2 linked regions of the Arabidopsis thaliana genome follow. The protein of the gene in region 1 interacts with the protein of each later gene in a pairwise test. Each region holds a gene or a part of one and is shown in the gene's direction. Other genes may lie near its edges.

Evidence for each region. The genes of interacting proteins can lie anywhere in the genome.
Region 2: the proteins of LOL2 (region 1) and AT1G12440 interact in a two-hybrid assay, tested with the Arabidopsis thaliana proteins (one large-scale study listed by BioGRID).

What each region holds. Positions count from the first base shown.
Region 1 is NC_003075.7:11,485,814-11,493,317, forward strand, and holds LOL2 (lsd one like 2), read left to right. Parts: upstream 1-3,162; 5' UTR 3,163-3,255; coding exon 3,256-3,424; intron 3,425-3,606; coding exon 3,607-3,714; intron 3,715-4,172; coding exon 4,173-4,282; coding exon of another isoform or gene 4,283-4,339; exon of another isoform or gene 4,340-4,406; coding exon 4,407-4,487; 3' UTR 4,488-4,610; downstream 4,611-7,504. Other genes in the region: ENDO5 (endonuclease 5), read left to right, coding at 1-50, 158-268, 389-444, 616-699, 780-872, 975-1,042, 1,147-1,220, 1,304-1,422; AT4G21620 (glycine-rich protein), read left to right, coding at 5,706-6,101; AT4G21630 (Subtilase family protein), read right to left, coding at 6,435-6,991, 7,056-7,248, 7,340-7,454. UniProt on the Arabidopsis thaliana protein: Putative zinc finger that may be involved in programmed cell death and defense response.
Region 2 is NC_003070.9:4,238,918-4,246,448, reverse strand, and holds AT1G12440 (A20/AN1-like zinc finger family protein), read left to right. Parts: upstream 1-3,247; 5' UTR 3,248-3,641; exon of another isoform or gene 3,642-4,089; 5' UTR 4,090-4,126; coding exon 4,127-4,633; 3' UTR 4,634-5,028; downstream 5,029-7,531. Other genes in the region: AT1G12450 (SNARE associated Golgi protein family), read right to left, coding at 641-836, 939-1,156, 1,259-1,495, 1,693-1,953. UniProt on the Arabidopsis thaliana protein: May be involved in environmental stress response.

The sequences.
Region 1 (7,504 bases):
TTTGCACTATGTTAACACACCTGAATACAGGTGCAACTACGAGTATTGCCGTGGGTTATCTTTTCCTCCAGCTTCATACATGTTTCTGTTCTGTTTCTGCTTCCATTGGCTATGTATTTTCTAAGTTCAACTCTATGTCCTTTTGTGTTTTGTGAAGGGGACTGCCATGACACTCATAAGCATAAGGACTGGTGTGTGACAGGAGCGATCTTCAATTACACAAACCAGTTAATGTCTGCTTCTGAAAACTCACAGAATATAGTCCACTGTGAGTTAGATTTTAAGTGAATCTGATACTTCTTTTAATGTTTCAGTTTACTGATTTCTGTGTGAGTACATCGATCATAATAGTGTGACTTAGAAGTCTTTTTCTTTCTGTTCTTGGCAGACAACTTGACAGAGGCTCTCTTGTTCTTGTCACATTATATGGGAGATGTTCATCAGGTTAGTCCTTTTTGCAAATTCAGTCGAATCATAATATTACAAACAAATGCTGTCAGAGTTATATGCATTTGAGGCTACTACTCTATCTACTCTGGACTCTGGAGGTTTGATTAGTGTATAGTAGCAACACAAGAGTATGGCTAATCTTTATGTGGATTATGATTTTCGCAGCCCTTGCATACTGGTTTTCTTGGAGATCTAGGTGGTAACACAATAATAGTCAACTGGTACCATAACAAATCAAATTTGCACCATGTAAGTGCTTTGTTTTTTAGTCATATTGATGCTAAAAAGTATCTTTCCTGACACGGAAGTGGAACGATCTTAACTTGAAGGTCTGGGACAACATGATAATTGACTCTGCTCTAGAAACATACTACAATTCAAGCCTTCCACACATGATTCAAGCTCTTCAAGCCAAACTCAAGGTACAATCTTGCCTTCTCTAATCAGCTTCAGCAAGTTATAGCCGTATCCAAGATAAACACAACTTACATTGAGTGTTTGTTGTTACGTCTGTCTTAATATAGAACGGCTGGTCGAATGATGTTCCGTCGTGGAAGTCATGTCACTTTCACCAAAAGGCCTGTCCAAATCTGTAAGCAAGCATCTATATATCTGTTAAGTTGCTTAATAGCAGAGAAAACTTAGTTTTCGTTACCATATCATTGTTGATTCTCTTTGTTCTTTGATGTGTTAAAGGTATGCTTCTGAAAGCATTGATCTCGCCTGCAAGTATGCTTACAGGAACGCTACTCCGGGGACTACTTTAGGAGGTATACTTACTCTATGAAACCAGATCGTGGCTTTTTGTTTTCTTTAATCATGGACATGACTTGATCTTCTGCTTTCTCTGCAGATGAGTATTTCCTTTCTCGGTTACCCGTTGTAGAGAAGAGACTTGCACAAGGTGGGATTCGCTTGGCAGCTACTCTTAATCGTATCTTTTCTGCAAAACCGAAGCTCGCAGGATTATGAATCTAAGAAAAAGATCCTTGAGAACCCACGTAACAACTCCTTTTAAGTGTTTTTTATAACACTGTGAATGGTTGAGTCATGACTAATGAGTGAACCTCCAAAATCTTCATGCAAAAATTTGTTATTTTGGGACATGGTTCAAACTTCCAATAACAAACCACACTAACGGATAACACTTTGCATTTTTTTTGTTTGTTTTCAGTTTTGTTAATTAGTATCCTTCTTCTTATCTTATGAAAAAGGTAAGTTAACATAAAGGAGTAAAATAGAAAAAGAAGTTAGATTTCCTCATTAGATTAGGAATGATAATTCGCTATATAAAGATTTCAAGTGAGACATAAAAAGCCTAAGCGCAAAACACACAAAAAAGAGTTTCTTACGTGAAAAGCTACTTAAACCCTAAAAGAGAGAGAGAAAAAAAAAGCAAAGCCGACACAGCTAGCGCTCTCGGGTGCACTTCCACAGCAATGAACGGAGAAGAGCCACCTTTTAAAAGAAGACGGATGAATTTTCTTATGCTTCCTGATGATTTGGTTTTAAACTGTTTAATTTGGCCCGCATCTCAAGATAGTACTATCCAACTCTCTCTTTAGTATCCAAGAGATTCCGCTCTATCCTTACTTCAACGGAGCTTTACCAGACCCAAACTCTCTTAGGCCGCACCGAGAGTTGTTTGTACGTGTGCTTAACGCAGATTACATATGACGCTTCTAACCCACAATTAATTTGGTTCACTCTTTGCCGCAAACCAAATAGCTCAAAAAAGATTTTAATCCCAATTTCATATCCTAAATCTGCATCATGGTCGGATAGTGTAGTGGCTGTTGGTCCTAATATCTACGCTATTGGGGGATTCAGTAATAATAGAACTAAACCTTCGTCTAGCGTCATGGTCATGGATTGTCGTACTCACACATGGTGTGAGGCCCCTAGCATGCAGGTTTCCCGTGTGTTCCAATCTACTTGCGTCCTTGATGGGAAAATATATGTAACAGGAGGCCGCGGAACTCTCGATTCAACGAAATGGATGGAGGTTTTTGATACGAAAACCCAAACTTGGGAGTTTTTGCAATTCCCGAGTGAGGAGAAGATATGCACAGGCTATAAGTGTGAGAGCATAGTGTATGAAGGAACTGTCTATGTAAGGTCGTATTTTCATAATGTGACTTACAAGCTGCATAAAGGTAGATGGATAGCGGCAGACTTAGCGATGAATAATGGATGGCGTTGCTCATCATTTTTTTGTGTGATAAAGAACGTGTTCTACTGTTGCAATAGAAGTGGTAACGGTATGATCGATTGGTATGACTCGGAAAAAGGATCATGGACAACTATGAAGGGGTTGGAAAGATTGCCTAAAGTTTATGGTAATGTTAAATTGGCATATTATGGTGGAAAAATGGTGGTGGTGTACGTGGAGTGCTAAGGAGTGGGGTAACGTGAGAAAAATTTGGTGTGCGGAAATTACGATTGAAAAACGCAAGGATGGAGAGATTTGGGGGATACTAGAATGGTTTGACGATGTATATAAAGCCAAGGATGAGCTAGAATATTTAGCTGTAGTGCATGCTGTTGTTACTACCATCTGATTGATAAGAGAGTCATGTGAACATTGTTCATTGATTCACCGATGCAATAACGAATTTATCTACTATCATTTGTTTTGATTTTCTTTCTAAATCTTTTTTGTTTGTTCTTGTATTGAATTTTACCTTACATTTATTAAGAAAGTCAACTATTTGTCAACGTTACTGGAAAGTTAAAAAGGTAAAAGTAATAATAATCTGAGAGTTAACTTTGGACATCTTCGCCGGAGCCGAGACGGAAGGCGTGATGGAAGAGATACAACAACAAACGCAGAAGGAAGAACAAAAGCACCGTGAAGAAGAAGAGGAGGAAGAGGAAGGTCCGCCTCCGGGATGGGAATCTGCAGTTCTTCCTCCTCCAATCGTCACCATCACCGCCGCCGTAAACCCCAATCCCACCACCGTAGAAATTCCCGGTATTCTTGTAGTCTTGTCTATTTTAGGGTTTATCGATTTGCTTCCATTTCTTGCTACAGTCTGATCAAATTAGAGATTTTTAGTGGAGTTTGTAGACTTTTAGAGATAACCCATTTTCGATTCCGAGAATTGATTAGTGTTTTTTTTCTGCAAATCTTCTTTGTTTTTGGGGTTGTTGCAGAAAAGGCCCAAATGGTATGTGGATCTTGCAGGCGTTTGCTTTCTTATCTAAGAGGATCCAAACATGTTAAGTGCTCCTCTTGTCAGACTGTTAATCTCGTTCTTGAAGGTTCGTTCTTCCATGGCTTTTTTATCTCTTATTCATTACTTGAAAAGCTTTTGTTGATAATCTCAGTCACTTGAAACTCTTAATGGAACAATCTTGGAATGCTCTCTCAGTCTAGTTTTACTTAGCATGTGTGAATGATATATCTATGTTCTTTTGAGAATCTCAAAATGTAAGCTTCCTGAGACCAAATGAGTTTAGTTCTTAACTGACACAAGAATGATCTTTGGTTAGGATTCTTCTCTTAAGCTTTTGTGAGCCTTTTGGTCTCTACTCCATCATAATGTCTCCTTTGTAGACCATTTATGTGGTCTTTATCCTTTACTCTTACTACTCTTGGGGAAATTGTGTGATCTTAAGACCAAGATTGTTCTTCTTAGCTTGTGAATCACTTGGCCTCATTATTGATGAAATAGCCTTCTTCTCTTATCGGTTCTGGACTTGTCGTTCTTTGTTTGCAGCTAACCAGGTTGGTCAGGTGAATTGCAACAATTGCAAACTGCTACTGATGTATCCTTATGGAGCTCCAGCTGTTAGATGTTCCTCCTGCAATTCTGTCACAGATATCAGTGTATGTATTCACAGATGGTTTTGTGCTCCATGTCCAAATCATACTTGGAAGAGTTGATACATTTTGAGATCCGAGTAAGTAATCATCTGATGAATCATTTATAATAAACTGTGTTATATTTCAGGAAAACAACAAACGACCTCCATGGTCTGAGCAGCAAGGACCACTCAAAAGTTTAAGCAGTCTCAGGAGAGCAGAGAATTAAACTTGAACCGATTTTTGTCAATTTTGAACCGGTTTGACGACTAAAAACCTTGTAATAATGTCGAAGGATAGATGAAATAAAATCACCATTAATAATCTCATTGAATTCCCATTCTTTCAGATATTACTTGCTCATCATCCTTTACTGTTTTAAGCTTTAGTGGTTAAAAAGAATGTGTATATATCCATACAAAAGTTGATATATGTACTGGACCAATATAAACAAACACAGCTCACAGTCTCACACAATACATAAAAACAAAATTCATATTTCACAGGTGAGAAAAACTAACTAGTAGTCTACTTGGCCGAATTTGTCAATGAATTTCAATAATTAGGTCGTATAAATAGCAAACAAAACATGGACTCTTACCCAACCAAATATGCATAAATAATTTACATTACAGTTTCATATAAAATACAAACTAATGGTGGGTCCTCGAGAGAGCTAACAAGAGCTGTGTGTGGGTGAAGAACCAACTTGTCAACGAAACCAATTTAATGGAAATCAACCCTAAATTTAATGAAACCTTGGACGAAACTTACATTTTGTTAACCAGTTTATCCTTTTAAATCAAACCTGCATAGATTTTGATTTAAGACTTGAAAGTCTTAAATGATATGGTTGGATTGAAATAATGAGTGGGCCTTATAGAACAGATTAAATTATGAACACCACAAGTTTCTTTTTTTGTGCGAGTAATAAAACAGTTGCTTAGAAATTTGTTGTGTTTATAAATAGACACTATTATTAACACACAAATTTTTGAATTTTTGGCAGATGGTTACAGAGAATACCAATTGTGGATTTCATCCAAACTTTAGGTAATTAATCCTTTATTTTTTTTATCATGAACACATCTGTCAAAAGTCCTCCACTATCAAATCTTAATTTAAACTATCTGTCGCTCTTTGAATAACACATGCTTAAATTAAATGTCGCCAACGCCAAGTGCTGCTAAATAAAAATATTTGAACAGTCTCTCAACTAGTTACGCAAGTAATAGAGACTATAGAGAAAGACACAAGAGTCTTCTTTGCAAAGTAGAGTAGTAGTACGGGCATTAAAGTGATTGTATTACACACTAAAGTCCACGAATCATTGTCTTAACTGTATTTTCATACCTTCCAATTTAATGCTCTTCTCTATCTTTATATATCATCCAGCTTTTTATTTAATCTCCTCAACCAAACCCACTAAATATCTACATTACCAAAAATGTTCACAAAATCTATCCTTTTGGCTTCTCTTCTTATCATCATCCTCGTCTCTGCAACTGAATCAGCTCGTCAAAAGAGCGGGAACGATGGTTTAGGATTCGGTGGTGTACCCGGATCCGGATTTATACCCGGGTTTGGAAACGGGTTTCCGGGGACTGGAGTTGGTGGTGGATACGGTGGAGGGTTTGGTGGTCCTAGCGGAGGGTTTGGGAAAGGAGGTGTGGTGAGACCAACGGTTACTTGCAAAGAGAAAGGACCTTGTAACGGCAAGAAGCTTAGGTGTCCTGCTAAGTGTTTCAAATCTTTTAGCCGCTCCGGGAAAGGATACGGCGGTGGAGGTGGCGGTGGAGGATGTACTATGGATTGTAAGAAGAAGTGTATCGCTTATTGTTAAGATATAATAAAGATCACATCATCTTTATAATATATAGTCATTATGATGGTTATGTATTTTCTATGTTATAGCCTATAGATTATGAGATCATGAGGATCCTTTTGTCTTGATTCGATTTGTAGCAGTTTTATATGCATAATATATGGTTGTGATGAATAAATGAGGGAACTTTACTGTTTTCTCTATTGTATGTTTGTGTAAGAGATTCTAAGTTAATTGTGATTTGATCTGTTTTATGATGATCTTGAATCTTGATTTGACACTTTTAAACTTAGATTTGCAACAAATTACATAATAAGAACCAATACCATGAGCATCATATGGCTCTTTTTATTACATCGAAATCGTTGTCTTAACAGAGACAGGTATTATAACATCATGAACACCATCAGTCCATGTTAAGCTTCCAAAGAAATAGCCACTGTTGACTTTATGACTCGTTTTAGCCTTAACCGAGAAAGTGAGTACTCTCTTTGCTGCAGAGTTAAACACCAGAGTGGTTGGGTTCACGGTGAGAGTTATACCGAGAGGAGACTCGATTACAGCTTTATAAACTGACTTGATGGGTCCAACATTGGTTACAGTTCTTGTAAGTGTGACTTCTTTCTCAAGATTTGGAATTGTGATTGAAGGTAAGTTGATATCAAGAATTGATGGCTTGGGAATTGTGCATTTAGTCTTTTTACCAAGCACACGAGAGATTGAAGAGTCGATGTAACCCGCGGAACACATATAATTGATGTAATCTTTGATCCCCATATCGTAGACAAGACCAGGTTGAGCAGCTTTATCAGGGTTTACAAGTCCTCCTCCATAGTCAAATGGATCTGCAAGCTTCTTGTTTGATCCTTGAGCAAAAATGGGTTCTCCGGATGGACTTGTCCTCCAAGCTACAAAGGAAATCGATTAGTCGGTTTGTTCTTGAAAAAGAAGAAAAGAAGAAGAAGCAAGAACCTGTTGTGACCAAAGCTGATCTCATTGCAGCAGGAGACCAGTTAGGGTGTAGTGATTTTAGGAGAGCAATGATTCCAGAAACAACAGGAGTCGACATCGATGTCCCTGAATAAAGTCCAAATCCGTTGAACGCATCAGGATCAAGCGGACTCACTGCCGCGAGTATGCTAACACCCGGAGCTGCTATATCAGGCTACAGAATAAAGCTTGACCACATAATTACTCAAAAACGTTTAACCACACTTTGAAGTAAACATAGATAAGAGACACAATGGATTTATAACCTTGAGAATGGCTGGTGAAACAGAATTAGGCCCTCTAGATGAGAATTCAGCAACCTTAGTCATTGCAGGCTGACCGTTTAGGGTCGTAGCAGCACTAATTCTCACAGTGGGAGATCTGTAGGTTTGACGGATCAATAATGTATATATTTAAGAAATGTAAATGGA
Region 2 (7,531 bases), on another chromosome or scaffold:
TCAATACTTATGCTTAATTTTAAGATACGCTATATATTTTCTTCACTCGTTACATCATTATTCAGACCAAGTAATAAAAATTGCCAGGAAATTATTCCTTGTTAAATACATCAAACGTATCATATGATCCATATGAAATTGATCCAAACCTATCCATATGAAATTGAAGTTGGCGCAGTTGGTCCGACGGCCCAATAACGTGGCACTAAACCCAAACATCACAGAGGTTCTCGCGTTGACTACTCTGTCAACAAAACCGAAACAGATGACGTCATCATTGACACTCAGCATCGAAGTTAGCTCCAAAGATCATTTGATACATAAATTTCATGGAACATAGGAGGACACACAGTCTTCATGGATCATTTTTGTTTTTACTTTTGAACAAAACCCAACAAGACATTGTTCCATGATACATAAGGTGGATTATATGCAAGGAAAGAAAAAGACTTAGATGATCTAATAAATATACATTGGAAATTTTCAAAATTCAATTGATACATATCATATATACAAGAGAAAAAGACATAAATATTCATTTTCAAATGAATAAGAATAACAAAAAAAAAAAAAAACATTATATATTATCAATTTCAAGATCGTGTTAGATGATGGTATGTTGTGGTCATGGTGAAAAGAGTTAATAAAGTATTGGATTTTGTAATGTCTCTACGTCCTCTGATTGCATCGCACTTAGCTTCTTCTTCGCATAGATTGTGCAGACTATAGTCGCGCTCGCAGTTACACAGAAGCCAAGAACATTCACGACTATCTCCACAACCGAAAGTGTGTGTCTCGTGTCTGATGCAACTGCTAGTGTCCTTAGCATTATACCCCTGCAAATATCCCAAAACAGAAAACCACCAGTCTTAAGATTCTGCAGAACATGCCTTAAACATTGAGACAAGAGACATAGAGAAAGAGAGAGAGGCATGTACGTGTAAATTGAGACAAAGATCTCAGGAACCATTCCAACAAGAGAGCCTAAGATATAAGGACCATAATGAACTCCAGTCGCTAAAGCGCAGTAGTTGTAAATGATGTAAGGAAATGGAGAGACACGGATTAGTGTGACTGCTTGAAACTGATGAAACCAGGTTCCTTCACCAGCAGCTCTAAGTATGGCTGCTTTTTTAGGGTATTTCTTCAACCATTCCTGCACAAATGACAAGAAAGAAAAAAAGTCCAAATTGATCATCTCATGGTACAAGCTTAATAATAAGTATCCGAACAAAGAGTATGGGATGATGATGCTTACTTGCATCTTGTGGAGGAAGAGATGTCCAATTAAGAAAGGAAGAGTAACACCGATGGAAGCAGCTGATAAAATCAGAAGAAACCCTTTTCCATAACCAAATGTAAGACCAGCCATCCACATGGAAGGGGAAGAAGGAAGAAGAATGCTTGGAAACAATGCCACTGAGGCAAATAGTAGAAGACCGAGAACCGGTATGCTGAATGTGTTTCTCACCCAATTTATAAATGGAATCAGCTCCTGAAACAAATCACACCAACATTAATGATGATAAATGAATAACCTTCCTTATAAACACATACTCATACATGTAATTCAAGAACCCTAATTTTCAACAATTAAAAACCCAGCAGAAACCAGAATCATTATGCATACCCTAATCCAATCAAATGTAACCAATAAGCATCAGATCTTCGAGAGACAAAAAAAAAACGAACCTTTTCAATCAAAAAGGGACCAACCCATTTGATGATAACAAAGGCCAATGAACCCAAACAAACGACCAAGGAGATCAATTTCACCCAGAACCAGACAGAAGTAACCGATCCTATCGGACATCTCGATGATTCCGCCGATGATCCTTCATCTTCTTCATTTGATCCTCCTCTCAATTTCAGATAATCACCATTATCGGAATCTTCTTCGACTCTCAATTTCAGCTCAGGCACCGTCCCATCGACGCCATTGCTGTACGTCATAGATCGATGCGAAGATAAAACCAAAAAAAGTGAATCCTTTTGGCTCTAAAAAAAATATCTCAAAAGTTTCCGTCAGAATCGTTATGCACCTCTGTTTGTTTTCCTTCGGTTTCTCGAGAAAATTAAACCGTTAGATCAAATGTTGTGTTGATCGGAGAGAGCGAATGGGGTTAGAAGAAAGAATCTTTATTATTCGTTTCCGTTCTTAGCTTTAAAAACTTTTAAAAAATGATATCCTTATAATTAGGTGGTTTAGTTTCAACTTATTAAACCGGTGTCGTAGTCAAACATGTGGAGACATATGAGTGGCTAATAGCTGTTGCTCCGTCACGAACCACCGATAAATGTGTAAGCAGAGTTGCTTTAGACCGGCGCTTTATTTTCGCTTTGCCGTTACGGTGCGTACATACATCGTACTGACAGAAGAAATACGTAACATATTTAATTATTGAAATTTAGTTGCTTGAAGGCAATTTATATATATTACGGAGCATAACATAAAAGAAAACGAGAGGATCGAACAAGAGAATGAAACGCAACCAAAGTTGATACTTGTAAGCAAAATATAAGAACAAGACTCCCTGTAAAAATGAACATATCGATAGATGATATATAGATTAGATAGCTACGTTTTGAAGTATTAATACCATACCAAAGAGGAGCATAAGAACTAAGAAGCTTATGGACCCTATAAACAATTCACAAACTATATCAAATTTAATTTGGTTGTGGACCTTATGGTCAGTATTGGATCCAAAAAAAAGGATGCAGTCGCGAGTGAGAGTCGCTTGCTAATATAACGTCTTGAATGATAGCGTTCGATGATTTTGGATTTCGATTAGTCGTTTCCAAACCAGATAAATGGAAATTGAATTAGTCTCGATTTTAAGGACAAGCATAAACAAATTATAGCTCAAGATTAGATATAGTGGTGTCCAAAACACTTTACGTAAATTAAAACGATTTAGTCATGTTGATATTTGCAAGTAAACTCAGTGAGAAAAGACCTGACCACTTTTAAAATCCGGTCGTTTTAGCGAAGAAAAGAAAGAGATAATTGAAAAGGCCCAAGGAAGAAAGAGTACATTTGGAACAACATATCATCACATTCCGATCAAATCAAAAGAGCGATGGACTAATCGCGTCGGGACAAACGCGCCACCTTTTTTCTTTATCCTACTGTTACGTCACCGTCCAACCAGCTAAGCATGTCCCCACAAACCAAACCCGGTTCATATAAAACCGATTATCTTCACGAACTCGAACCAACTTTATCGTAATCCACAAACACCATAAAAAGTTGATAACCCCACCCATTTTATATCCACTTTATCTCATCAAAAAACTTCCAATCACCACCGTTGGATTAGTAAACAATGGCGTCATCACTCTCCGATTGTTTCATCGAACGAATATTATCAGGGATGTATTAAATCTTCCGTGCGCCTTACCGCATATGAATAAACCATTTGACCACAAAGACAAATGCAAAAGAACTAAAAGAGTCTGGTTTCTGTTCTGTCCTAATTTCTCTCTGGCGAAAGCTAAGAGGTTTCGGTTACGGTCTCCATCTCCGATCAAATCACGAAGTTTCTATCGGAAATTTTCAGTGATACATACCGTCAGAGATTTTCTTTACGAGAGAATTGTCGCCGACATACTAAAGCAGAGTTTTGGGTGGGAATTAGGTAAATATCTTATTGGTTTTGTTCTGTGCCGATATGCAGATTTGTGTTCTTCGTTTGAATCCTTCATCTATTCTTGAACCATTCGATTTAAGTTTTTGACGGCGAAGATTAAACAACTCTTATCTATCTCTTTTTTGTCCTTTTTTGCGCCGGAAGGGTAAAGTGGTCTTTGTGAGATAGACGCTGACCTGGTCTTAAGTGTTGACAAATGACGCATTTACTCTTCGACTTTATAAAGAGTTCCAAGGGTATTTTAGTCATAAATGAGAAATAATTTTAGTCTTTCTCGCTTGAGAAACAAGCCAAGAATCTCCGTTTTCTAAATCTTTCGATATTGTCAATTTCCCTTTATTTTCTCGACGGAATCATAAATAAAAACCCTAAACCTAAAGTCACAAATTCATTCTTCATCTGTTATTCACGATTTGTGTTGTCTTTTCTTTTGCAGTAAGATTTCGACTTTGGAATTGGGAGATCTTTCCATTATGGGTTCTGAGCAAAACGACAGCACAAGCTTCTCTCCTTCAGAGCCAAAGCTCTGCGTCAAAGGATGTGGCTTCTTCGGATCTCCATCGAACATGAACCTCTGCTCTAAATGCTACAGAGACATCCGAGCCACGGAGGAACAAACCGCTTCCGCTAAAGCCGCCGTCGAGAAATCTCTAAACCCTAATAAACCCAAAACTCAACCACAACAGAGCCAAGAAATCACTCAAGGCGTCCTCGGATCTGGATCGTCTTCCTCATCAACGAGAGGGGGTGATTCGGCTGCTGCTCCGTTGGATCCACCGAAATCGACGGCTACGAGATGCTTGAGCTGTAACAAGAAAGTTGGCGTGACGGGTTTCAAGTGTAGGTGTGGAAGCACTTTCTGTGGAACTCATAGATATCCAGAGAGTCACGAGTGCCAATTCGATTTCAAAGGAGTTGCGAGAGAAGCTATTGCTAAAGCTAATCCTGTGGTGAAGGCTGATAAGGTTGATAGGATATGAATTGGTGAAGAAACTGTTGTGTTCTCTTTTGTTTTTTTATTTTCAAGTCTCGTGATGTTGGTGGTTTGGCTCTCTGTTTTCTGCTCTTATTATGGTTTTATTTGCTTTTAGGGTTTCTTAGGAAAGGCCTTAGATTCTGCTATTATGTGGTTTCATGTTTTGCAACATTGGATTTGTTGTTCTGTAATAAAGTGTTGGTTATATTATGAAATTGTGTTCTTATTGGTACCAGCTTACTTCTTCTTACTTGGAGAAGTTGAATTGTTTGCAGATATAGGATTCTCTTGGTTATGAGGCTTATGAACTAGTTGGGGGTCGTAAATAGCTTATGGTGGATAAAAGTGTGTAGCTTGATAGTTCTGAAACTAAAGATGTCGTATAGAGCTTATGGTGGATTCCCCTGGTTTGTTTATAGTGGACGAACAAGTTGGGGTTTGTATATAGCATTATAGCTTATGGTGGATAAAGTATGTAGCTTGAAATTTCTGAAGCTGAAGATGTTGTTCAGGGTATCTTTATCGAGTCATGGAAGATTTAGATGTGTCTTTAGTTTAGGTGTTAAGTGTCCTTGATTGAATGAGTCATTGATTTTGCTTTCTCTGTCTTAGCTGGAGAAAGTAGTGTTCTTCTTACCTGGACAAAGTTTGATTCACTTAAGAGTTGTGGGACTTAGAGTAAGTGGAGTTTTTATATAGCTTATGGTGGATCCAATGAAGTAGTCAAAGTAGTTTACCTATATCGAACCATGGCAGATTAAGAGATGTTTAGGTGATAGTGCCCAGTGATTGAACGAAATCAGTGATTTTTGCCTGGTAGTGGCAGTATGCTTTGATAGCTTAAGAAACTTTAAAGACTTGAGGCTCGGTTTTGGCCATGATCGATTTGTTTGAACTAGTTGGGATATTCGGTGTTGTAGTCGATGACTGTAGATTGAATACATTCTGTCGTTTGTGTATACATATTCCCTAGCAATGATGCTCATAAGATTATTTCCCTGTGCTTGTATGATCTTCATCTCGTTGGGGTTATGTTTAAAGTGTAACCCATCAAAAGTTTTTAGCAAAAAGATGGAATAGTCAATGCCAATGCAGATCTTTGAATGGTGTGTATTGAACAATGTCAATATCCACAATCAAGTGCACTAGTTGCATCTGATCTATTTTTATAAAAGAAGTATCCATCCAAATTTTTTATATACTGTCTTCGCATACAACTGATTTTGATCTGAAATTTCACTAGATGAAACTGGATTTGATTTTCAATACGGTTTCTAAATTGTCTAAACTATGAAAAACTGTAACAAACAAAAATTGATATCAAAACTTAAGACTGCAACCGACGAGTTGAGGTAGACTATGAAATGATAGAACATATGTCCTTGGTGTGGGTAAACTGTTGCTTTCACTTTCACTTTCACTTCTTGATGGTTACATTACAATATTGGGTCCATTTTTCGGATCTTATCAACCAATTTACAAAAAGCAAAGAGAGAAAAGCAGTGCACTACAGTTTTCTTTATAAAACTTAACAAATGAACATGTAGACTTTTAGTTTTCAACTGTGAAACATGTTTTGTACTTCTTTGCTTTAGGCTTTATTATTTTTCTTTCTTATACATGAAAAAATAGTGGAACAATGAAGTACTTACTGCGACATTGCAACCTTTGGAAAAAACCACTTTCAGGCCATGATGCAATATCGAATGATCTGACGTTGCATCAGTCGTATAACCTTTTGTAATTCATAGTTTTACCCCTAAAAAAAAACAATTTTATATGAATTCAATTTTCGATTTTAAACATAAATTTTCGATTTTGGACATTTTACATGTCTAGAATATCTCCCCAAATCCTATGATCAATATAATAAACAAATAATGCTGAAATTAGAAAGAGAAATAACAAAGTGCCCTTTTATATTTTATAGAAAATAACTCTTTGTTCCTTGAATATAACTCACTTTAGTAAAGTCTCTCATTGAAGAAGGCCCCTACATGAATACTGAATAGTCTGAGTGCTTTGAATAAGTTTCCCTCTTTATACATCAATGCTGCAGTATATACACACTATAAAGCACCAGAATGGCAAAAAAAAAGGTTTCGTTTTACATTTGATTATGAAATATCAGAGATGTGTCAATTGGGTTAAGAATTCACTATTTGAATATGTTCAAATTTTGTTATTCATTCTTTTCTTATTATGATGGTGTTTTTTGGTTTGGAAGGATCATGATGTTTGAACCAGGTGTAAGCGAACTACAAATTTTATGAAAAAAATCGAATCATAATTTTGATCGAACAATTATTTTAATGTCGATCCAGAAATTTCCATTTTAAAACTAAACTATATTGAGTTAAAATTTTCATATACTAGATTCAATTCATCTCAAAGCACCTTTTTGTACATATTGTTGTTAATGAATTGATTTCCTATTTTCTCCTATTATATTTTAATTTATATTCTATCACCTTTTTTTTTGGTTCGGCCAAAATATTTGAAAGGAAAACTCTTTTCATTGGGACGATTTGACAAATATACTTTTTCTATGGGCCCTTGAATCCCTTTATTGTTGTTATTGCCTTTTCTCAGTCCAAAACCTTTTGTTCTTTTAATTGATCTTCCTATAATTATGCTTTAAAGAAACGAATTCAAATTTAATATATAAAAACTCATTCAAAGTTCAAACCAGTCCATCTCGACAAAATGTGTTTTACAGTTTCACAACATATGTGATAAGGACTAAAATTTTGTGAATTCAAACAAATTTGTAGTTATCTAACGATCTTATGACTAAACACATACACGAGTTTTGGAAAAATGAGATTGCTACAAATAGTAAGCAATTAAAATGGTCACATCTCTCGTGACAGGGTTGCTCGAATAGCATATTAATAATGAA